2 linked regions of the Sus scrofa genome follow. The protein of the gene in region 2 binds, or shares a complex with, the protein of the main gene of each other region. Links are inferred from orthologs where the notes say so. Each region holds a gene or a part of one and is shown on either strand. Other genes may lie near its edges. The genes, in order: SSU72 and SYMPK.

Region 1 (4,311 bases), about 12 Mb from region 2:
GCTAAGCACACGTGAGGGGACCGCGAGGTAGACCGAGCCTTGTCGATTCCTCGCTGCGCTCGGCCCCTAAGCCCACGAACCCGGGCGCTGCGCGGCATCTCGGGCATCCTTTGGGGGCCGGGGCGCACCGCCCGTCTGGGAACGGGGCTGCCCAGCAAGGGCAGGGGAAGCGCGGGCCAGGAAAGCGGCCGCCGCCACACAGCATGGGCCGGGAAACGGGACTGCCCAGCATGGGTCGCGGAGAGATGCGGCCGGAGGAACGGCCAGTAGGGCCGGTGTTCGTAGGGCGCGCTGGGCCAGGGCGGAGGCCCTAACTACCTGAGGATGTTGTGCGCCTCCATGCTCCGGTTCTGGTTGCTCGAGCACACCACCGCCACCCGCAACGGCGACGACGGCATTGCGGTAGCCGCACCGTCCGCGACTCCCGCCTCCGAGCTCCCACCCAGCGGCGCCGCTTCCGCGCGAGGAAGATGGCGACCTCGGTGCCCGGAAGTCATGACGCGCAAAAGGCGACGCCGGCGACGTAGCGCGTCGGGATGTGCGGCACGGACGTACGCAAGGCGTCCCGGCGGCCTCCCCACGCCGGCCGGGAGCGCTGGGCAGCGGACGGAGGGAGGCCCCGCCCCGCGGGCGCCCGGCCGGCTGGCGAGCTCGCCTCTTCTCTGTGCATGAACCACAGAGGCCAGCGCCCCGCACAGGAGTCGCCGTCCGGCCCAGCCCCGCGCACCGGCGACCCGACGTCGTCACGAGCCGCCGCAGTCGCCGGGAATGACGCGAAGGCACCGCCCCAGCTCAGATGATGTCACGAGCGCCGTCGCCGGGAATGACGCAAAAGGCGCTGGCCTGCTGGGACGGCCGTTGGAAGTGGCAGGTTCCGGGCAGCGTCTTCCAGGATGGCTTTGCGCGCTTCCGCCTGCCCCTGGCGACGCCCCTTGTTCTCGCTCCTGCCACCCGAGCCGCCGTGTCTCCCTTTTCTGCTCTGCCGAAGACTCTACGAAGTCTGACCTTTAAATGAAGTCGTGGAAGTGTTTGGAGAGGTGGTTAGGTGCTTTGAGAAGACCTCCCCGGTTAGGAGAGCAAGTCGATTGAAATCCTGGGGCTTGTTTGGAGGCCCTGCGGGTTTGAGATACGGGGTTGTAATTTGACCGAGAAACTAGGCAACCCGGTTTTGTTCTCCAGCCACTTGGAGTGGCCAATGAGTTGGTCTTCTGGTATGTGCAGCAAAAGGAGGGGGCGAGGGAATGGCGGTGCTCCGACGTGGATCCAGGCTGGCTGAGAAGTGAGGACACGAAGGGACGGTGGCAGTGGAAAGGTACCGTGTGCGCTGAACTGGAGATCCCAGTGGAGTGGAAGAAATGTCGCTGGGGCCAGAGGGTGGTAGAGCGGGATGCTTGAAACTGGGTGTAGAGGGAGCTGCCTTCTGAATGCCTGGAGGCTAGGCGTAACCGTAGGCACCGATGGTAGCAGATGGTAGCAGACCGTCTCGCTGTTGGAGAGGGGAAAGCTCTGAAGCCGGGGCAGTGAAGGACCATCTTCACTGATAGTCGGTTGTCCTAACATTGCTCCGGATGTTTTCATGGAGAGAAAGGTTGAGGACCAGGCACTCAGACTGTTTAAGTCAGGACCCTTGGGCCTGGTGTGAGGGAGGCCGGTGCAGGATTATAGCAAGGAAGTGTTTACTTGGAAGGACTTGGGGGTGTGAGGGATGAGTGAGGACCAATGAGGGCGTCCTCCCCTCCCACTCTCTGTATTTAAACACACACAGAACGCAACGTCCAGAGGGACCTACCCTGGAATGTGGCAGTGGGACCGCAACCCTAATGGCCTAGGGTTAAGGGTGCTTTATACTTATAAAGAATGCTCTTTATACCTTTTTGAATTCCTTGACTTTGTATGTTATGATGGACGTGTATTTTCTCTAACAACAACAACAAACAATAGAGGTGTTTACATTTGGAAAACAAGACGCCTCCATGGCCTCCCCAGTGTGCTCAGAAGGCATAACCTGAATTCAAAGACATTATGGCCTCACCACACCAGTACTGATCAGTACTGACCATTCCAATACCAATATAGTAGCTGTCCTACCTCACCTCTCCCTACCTCCTGTGTAGAACTTAACGTCCGCCAACTGAAAATTGCTTGTCGGTGCCTTACCTCTGTGTGTGCCCCCCAGACCTCAACTCAGTCCAAGTACTGAGATCAGATAGATGCCGCCCACTTCAAGAAAGCTCACCCATGTCCTCCTCTGCCCGCACTGGCCTTTCTGTCCTGGCTAGGGACCTTCTCTCTGGCGCTCTGTGCTGCTCTGCCCCACTGCATGCACAGACTCTGAGCTCAGAAGGGCTCAGGCCCCATTCCCAGGCGAGATGGTTTTGTTGCCTTATGTCCAGTGCATTGAGAAACGTCTCAGGAGTTCCTAAGTGGGTTAAGGACCCACTTGGCTTAATGCCCAGGAGTAGGGTGATTAGAGCATATGTTTAGGTGTACTTTTAACTTTCTAAGAAACTGCCAAATTGTTTTCAAAGCAAATGTACTGTCTCACATTCCCGTGTGCAGTGTCCCACTTTCTCTACATCCTTGATGGCACTTGATGTGATTAGTCTTTTTAGTTTTAAATTTTTTAAGATCAATTTGTGTGTGTGTGTGTGTGTGTGTGTGTATTTCACAAGTATAATTTTGGAAGGGCTGTTTGACAAATTTATGCATTACTGCCAAATCTGTAGACATGCTCACCACCACCACTAACAAAAACACACATTTGCTCTTGGCTTTTTTAAAACACGTAAGTATGGGGAGTTCCTGTTGTGGCGCAGCGGAAATGAATCCGACTAGGAACCACGAGGTTGCAGGTTCAATCGCTGGCCTCGCTCAGTGGGTTGAGGATCTGGCGTTGCCCTGAGCTGTGATGTAGGTCACAGACGCCGCTCAGATCTGGTGTTGCTGTGGCTGTGGCGTAGGCCAGCAGCAACAGTTCCGATTAGACCCCTAGCCTGGGAACCATATGCCGAGGGTGCAGCCCTAAAAAGACAAAAGACAAAAAAAAAAAAAAAAAAAACAAAAAAAAACAGGCAAGCGTCCCATTGCATCACACACAGAGATGCGGTAACAGATCTGAGAACATAATTAAACAGTTGATCTTTCTTTCACATGATGTGTACTTGATAACATAATAAAAATATAATTATTGGTTTACATGAGTATCAGTGATTTGCAGAATAAAACCCATAGACCATAGACCCACCAACTTTTAGGGGCAGAAACGAGTAAAAAGGTATTAAAAAATAGCATTTTGACGTTCCTGGTGTGGCTCAGCAGTACAAACCTGACTAGTATCCCTGAGGTTTCCAGTTTCATCCCAGGCCCCAACTGGTAGGTTAAGGATCTGGCATTGCCGGCAGCTGTAGTTCCGATTCAAACCCTGGCCTGGGAGGTTCCATATGCCACAGTGCGACCCTGAAAAAAGAAAATTAAAAATGGGTCTTAACCGTGGTATCCTGGGAAGGATCTGAAAAGATTGGTAATTCATCGGTCCTAGGTAACATTTAGTGAATGCCATGGGGGACTCAAGAAATAAGCAGGGTGCTGGGCGGTGGGGGTGGGGCAAGATAAGTGGGCAAGGAAAATGAAAAATGGAAGAGAAGTGTCTGAATTTGGGCAAGTGTGAAAAGGCCACCACAGAAACTGCTTTAGTTGCCGCACAGACGTTCTATACACGACCTGCTCCTGGACCACCGAACGCCCGGTGTGGAGGACGATTTAAGTAGAGCTCACATGTCAGCATTGAGAAAACCTCACTTATTTGCATCGAGAAAAACAACTTGTCTGATTTGTAAAAAGCGTCATTAAGTATTCAGAGGTAGAAGTTCCCGTCATGGCAAGTCGGTAACTCTAATTGTTTTAGTCAGATGTGGCCTTTAAATTTGAAATGTTTCTCCTGAAGAATTTTAAAAAATATTTTTGTTTGTCTTTTTAGGGCTGCACCTGTGGCATACGGAGGTTCCCAGGCTAGGGGTCGAATCAGAGCTGTAGCTGCTGGCCTACACCACAGCCACAGCAATGCAGGATCCAAGCCGAGTCTACGACCTACACCACAGCTCATGGCAACACTGGATCCTTAATCCATTAAGCAAGGCCAGGAATCAAACCTGTATCCTCATGGATACGAGTCAGATTCATTTCCGCTGAGCCAAGATGGGAACTCCATGAAGATATTCTAAAATAAGAGAAACTTATGTATCTGACTATGATAAAATATTTAAATAAGCCTAGAAAAAAAGAAATATTTCTCAAAACTGTCCTATCAAATAG
Region 2 (3,806 bases):
GAGCCCAGGTCTGTCGGATCCTAGGCTTTTCACTCAGGGCAACCCTGCTGTCTTCTCCTGAGCAGACGGATGTGTGGGCCACCCGCAAGCCACAGAGCTGCTGGGCCTGGGGTGACAACCCTTAGAGCTTAGCAGACACCGAGGAGGAGCTATCGGGGGAAGGGCTGATTTGGGGGTTTAGCCCTGCCCATGCGTGGGCAGAGCCTGGTGGGCTCAGGGGCCTCACCGGCTGTTCGATGACCCTTAGCACAGTCCTCTTGATGTCGGCGATGGCCTCCGTGTATACGGCTGCCAGCTCGTGGATGAGCTTGTGGTTCTGAGGCAGGAGAGCCAGGTAGAGGTACAAACACTGCTTTACTGTCTCCTCGGTCCAGGGCGCTGCCACCTCTGGTAAGGCAGGAGGTGAAGATCAGGTGAGGCCTGCTCCCCTCCCACCCTCAGGGTCTGGTCCTTCTTGGGAGGCAGGCACAGGAGGGAGCTGAGCTGGGAAGCAAAAGTCCCCAGGGCAGGAAGCCTGTCCTCTAGGAGGTGGGGGTGGAAGCGGGACGGCTCCCCTTCCGCAAGTCTCGGCACTCAGTGCCCACCTTGTCTCCTCTGACCACCAGTCCACGAGGCAGCCAGAGAGATCTTCCTAAGTGCAGTTCTGACCCTGTCCCTCTCCTGTTCAGTGCTCCCACAACTGTCCTGTGCTCTCAGGACAAGCCCCCAGATCCTCGCCCTGCTCTACCTGACAGGTCCTGGTCAGGGCAGCCCTGCCTCTGGGGCCCTGCACTCTGGTCACACCCCACTTCAGACAGACCCCAAGGCCTCCACTTTGGAGCCTCTACACGTGCTGCTGTCACCAAGAACACTGCCGCCCAACTCCTCTTGTGGTGCCTCCTCATCCTCTGGGTCTCACACCCTCTGGGTTCCCAACACTCAGGCTGCTCCAGGGCTCCTGTGCTCCTAGAAGGCCCCGTGCTTCCTGCCACAGCCTCCAATTTATGGTCCATCCTCTTGGGGCCAGAGTCTCCCCATCTGGCACACGGAGGACCCAGAGCTCTGCTGAGTGAGTGGGCCTGATATGATCCTGCCTGGAGCTGCATCACTGGCAAGCTGTCCTTGTCCTCGGCTTTCACCCAGCTGTCCCCACACCTCCAGGACCCTCTCCCTGACCCATCAGGCTGGGCCAGGCACCCCCTCTGGGCTCCCACAGACCCCTGATTTTGCCACCCAAAGCCTGCTTGTTTCGGTTACTGCTGTCTAGCTGTCTTCTCTAGCAGGCTCTGACCCCAGGGCCCAGTCCAGAGCCTGGGACGCAGCAGGTGCTCAACACACCCCTGAAGAACCTGTACCAAACCTGTGTCTTTGTCGGCTCCAAACAGCACAGATGGTGGGTTGGGGTGGACCAAGAGCTGCAGGTAGTTGAGGGCAAACTTCTCCACATACTCTCGCAGCTGCTCCTTCTCGTACATGCGCTTGATGAACAGCAAGGCTTGGGAACGTACCTGAGGAGAGAGGAGGGCAAGGTGGTGGAGGGGGCAACAGCTGTCCTGAGCTTGGCAGCCAGTGTGAAAACAAGCCCAAGTCTGAGGAAGGCCTGGCCTAGCTGAGTTACCTGTGCCCAAGACTGGCTTGGGAGGGAGGTTTCCTGGCCCAGCTGAGGGCCCTGCATCACCTCGCCATCTACTTGCCTGGCTCCATTCTTATCACGTCTGGCCCTGCTTGCCCTGCTCCAACCAGGAGCTTTCCTCAGTTCCTCACAAGTGGCGGCCTTCTCCCTGGCACTGAGACTTGGCACACAAAGTTCCCACTGCCTGGACTGCCTGTCGCTGGCTATATCCTGCTGGGAGCCAAGAGGACAGAGCCTGGTCTGGGGCATTGCTTTGTTCCCAGCAGCACCCCAGGGCCGAGCCAGAGTGTGCAGTCAGGGTCTGCTGAATGAACGGACACAAGACACCAGAAAGGAGCGGGTTGAAGGCAGGAGCAGGGATGGTCGCGGGCCCTCTCCATCACACCGAGGCACATCTGACCAGGGCGCAGCCATCTACTCCTACTGCAGGTCTTGGCTCACACGTCCCGACTCCGGGAGGCTTCCTTAAACCACCCCCTCCCCAACCCCCTCGCCAGGGCTTTGCAGTCACACACTACTCCACTCCTGGCACTGAACACATGGTGTCTGCTGGTAGGTCACACTGGCTCCTCCCAGGTCCCAGCACAGTGGGGCCTTAAGAGGGGCGTACAACACAGGCAGAATAAGAGCGAGAACGGGCCTGCCCTGCTTGGGGTGTGAGTATATATATGTGTGTACCTTCTAAGCAGCTTCACGCCATCATAAATGGAAAAACCACCACCACCACCAAAAGACTGTTGTAAGATGCACATTAAGCCCAGAAAGTTTCAGGGGAGTGTGGAAAAGGCTGGGCTGGTTACTCGGGACAGAGGAAGGACTGAGTGGAGCACAGCACAGGGCGGTGGGGGATCACCTTGTCCTTCTCATGCGAGCTGAGGTCTAGCAGGACGTGCAGGTACTGGAACTGACGGGATGGGCGCTTGAAGATCAGGTCTCGAAGAGTGGACATGCCCAGGTAGGTGCGGCTCTGCGGCAGGAAGGAGGGGAACCAGAGCTCAAGGCCCCTGCAGGGCACCACTGGGAGGTCTCCCCTGCCTCAGCCAGACCTGGGACTGGACCAGAGCATCCGGTCCCTCCCAGAACCCCCTGCCTGTACCATGATGCTCGGAGTGGCGGGAGATCTGCCGCCTGTCCTCACCTCATCCTCACAGTACTTGCGAATCACCTCCAGGGCACTCTCCGTGATGAGTGGCGCCTCCAGCACGACCTTGGTGAAGATCCTGCCAGAGAGGGGGGGTAGGGAACGGCTGGCTTCCCTATCCTGCTGATCATAGCTCAGAACTGAAAGTGCCCCCCTCCAACAGCTTGCTCAACCCCCTGGATACAGAGCTCTGGAAGCAACAGAGCAGGGTTCAGACACTGCCAGGTGGGTGTCCTGGGCAGAGACGACCTCTTGGAAACTCAGTTGCTCCCATTTTTCAAATGGAGATTCCTAGCTTGTTTAATATAGCAATGGGAGGGGATGACGGGAGGCTGTTCTTTGAGATGTGGTGACCAGAAAAGGCTGCTTGGAGATAACAGTTGTCAATGCTGGCAAAGGAGAAAGAGCCAGCCACGGAAGAAGTAGGGGGAGAGCATTCCAGGTAGAGCAGAGTGAGTCTATCAGAGGAACAGGAGACTGAAGGCCAGCGAGCTAAAGTTCGGGGGCAGTGAAATGCAGGGAGGCAAAAAAGAGGCTGAAGAGGTTGGCGTGGACTGGATTATACACGGTCTCATAGGACACAGTAAGGAGGTGCATTTTAGCTGAGGACAATGGAAGGTTTTTAGTGGGGAAATAACAAGACACGGTTTACATTTATAAAGTGTCACCTGAGCTGCTATGTGGAGAATGAATAAGCTGGAAATCCAGGACACGGAGGAAGCTACAGAACCGATGTGGGCAAGAGGTGGGGATGGTGAGAAGTCAACCTCGGGAACCAGCCTCCAAAGCAGACGCTGTTACTCGTCATGTATTATATGAGAAAATGGAGGCTCAGAGGGTAAGTGACACAGGTCAGAGAGCAAGCAGCAGAGCCAGAGAACAAGCCCGGGGCACAGGGCTCCAAGCCTGCACGGAAGCAACCTTGTCGTGCAGACAGTGGGGAGAAGAGGGAGAAAAGGGATGCACACGCGGAGGAACAATCTGGGTGCTGATGAAGAGGGAGGGGGTCAGAAACCAGAACGGAAAGGCAGGGCACAGGACGGGGGACGGGAG

The links.
Region 1: the proteins of SYMPK (region 2) and SSU72 are in contact, whole or in part, in a crystal structure (PDB 4H3K), measured with the Homo sapiens proteins. The link is inferred for Sus scrofa from reciprocal best matches to the Homo sapiens genes SYMPK and SSU72. Residues at the interface, in NP_004810.2 of Homo sapiens: Val123, Lys127, Leu131, Gln135, Asp175, Asn176, Asp177, Gly178, Thr181, His182, Lys185, Glu188, Pro204, Arg205, Arg206, Gln207, Ser250, Ile251, Thr254, Thr255, Asn262, Ala290, Ser292, Gln293, Ser295, Ser296, Lys299, Asn300, Leu303, His304; in NP_054907.1 of Homo sapiens: Glu113, Tyr116, Asp117, Val120, Asn124, Glu127, Gln128, Glu129, Thr130, Cys131, Gln132, Pro133, His135, Asp167, Glu169, Asn170, Asp173, Gln177, Glu180, Thr186, Phe187, Leu188, His189, Thr190, Val191, Phe193.

Annotation. Positions count from the first base shown.
Region 1 is NC_010448.4:63,754,428-63,758,738, forward strand, and holds the start of SSU72 (RNA polymerase II subunit A C-terminal domain phosphatase SSU72), read right to left. Parts: upstream 3,034-4,311; 5' UTR 498-3,033; coding exon 319-497; intron 1-318. UniProt on the Homo sapiens protein: Protein phosphatase that catalyzes the dephosphorylation of the C-terminal domain of RNA polymerase II. Plays a role in RNA processing and termination. Plays a role in pre-mRNA polyadenylation via its interaction with SYMPK.
Region 2 is NC_010448.4:52,149,286-52,153,091, forward strand, and holds part of SYMPK (symplekin), read right to left. Parts: intron 2,833-3,806; coding exon 2,751-2,832; intron 2,580-2,750; coding exon 2,466-2,579; intron 1,488-2,465; coding exon 1,340-1,487; intron 388-1,339; coding exon 227-387; intron 1-226. UniProt on the Homo sapiens protein: Scaffold protein that functions as a component of a multimolecular complex involved in histone mRNA 3'-end processing. Specific component of the tight junction (TJ) plaque, but might not be an exclusively junctional component. May have a house-keeping rule.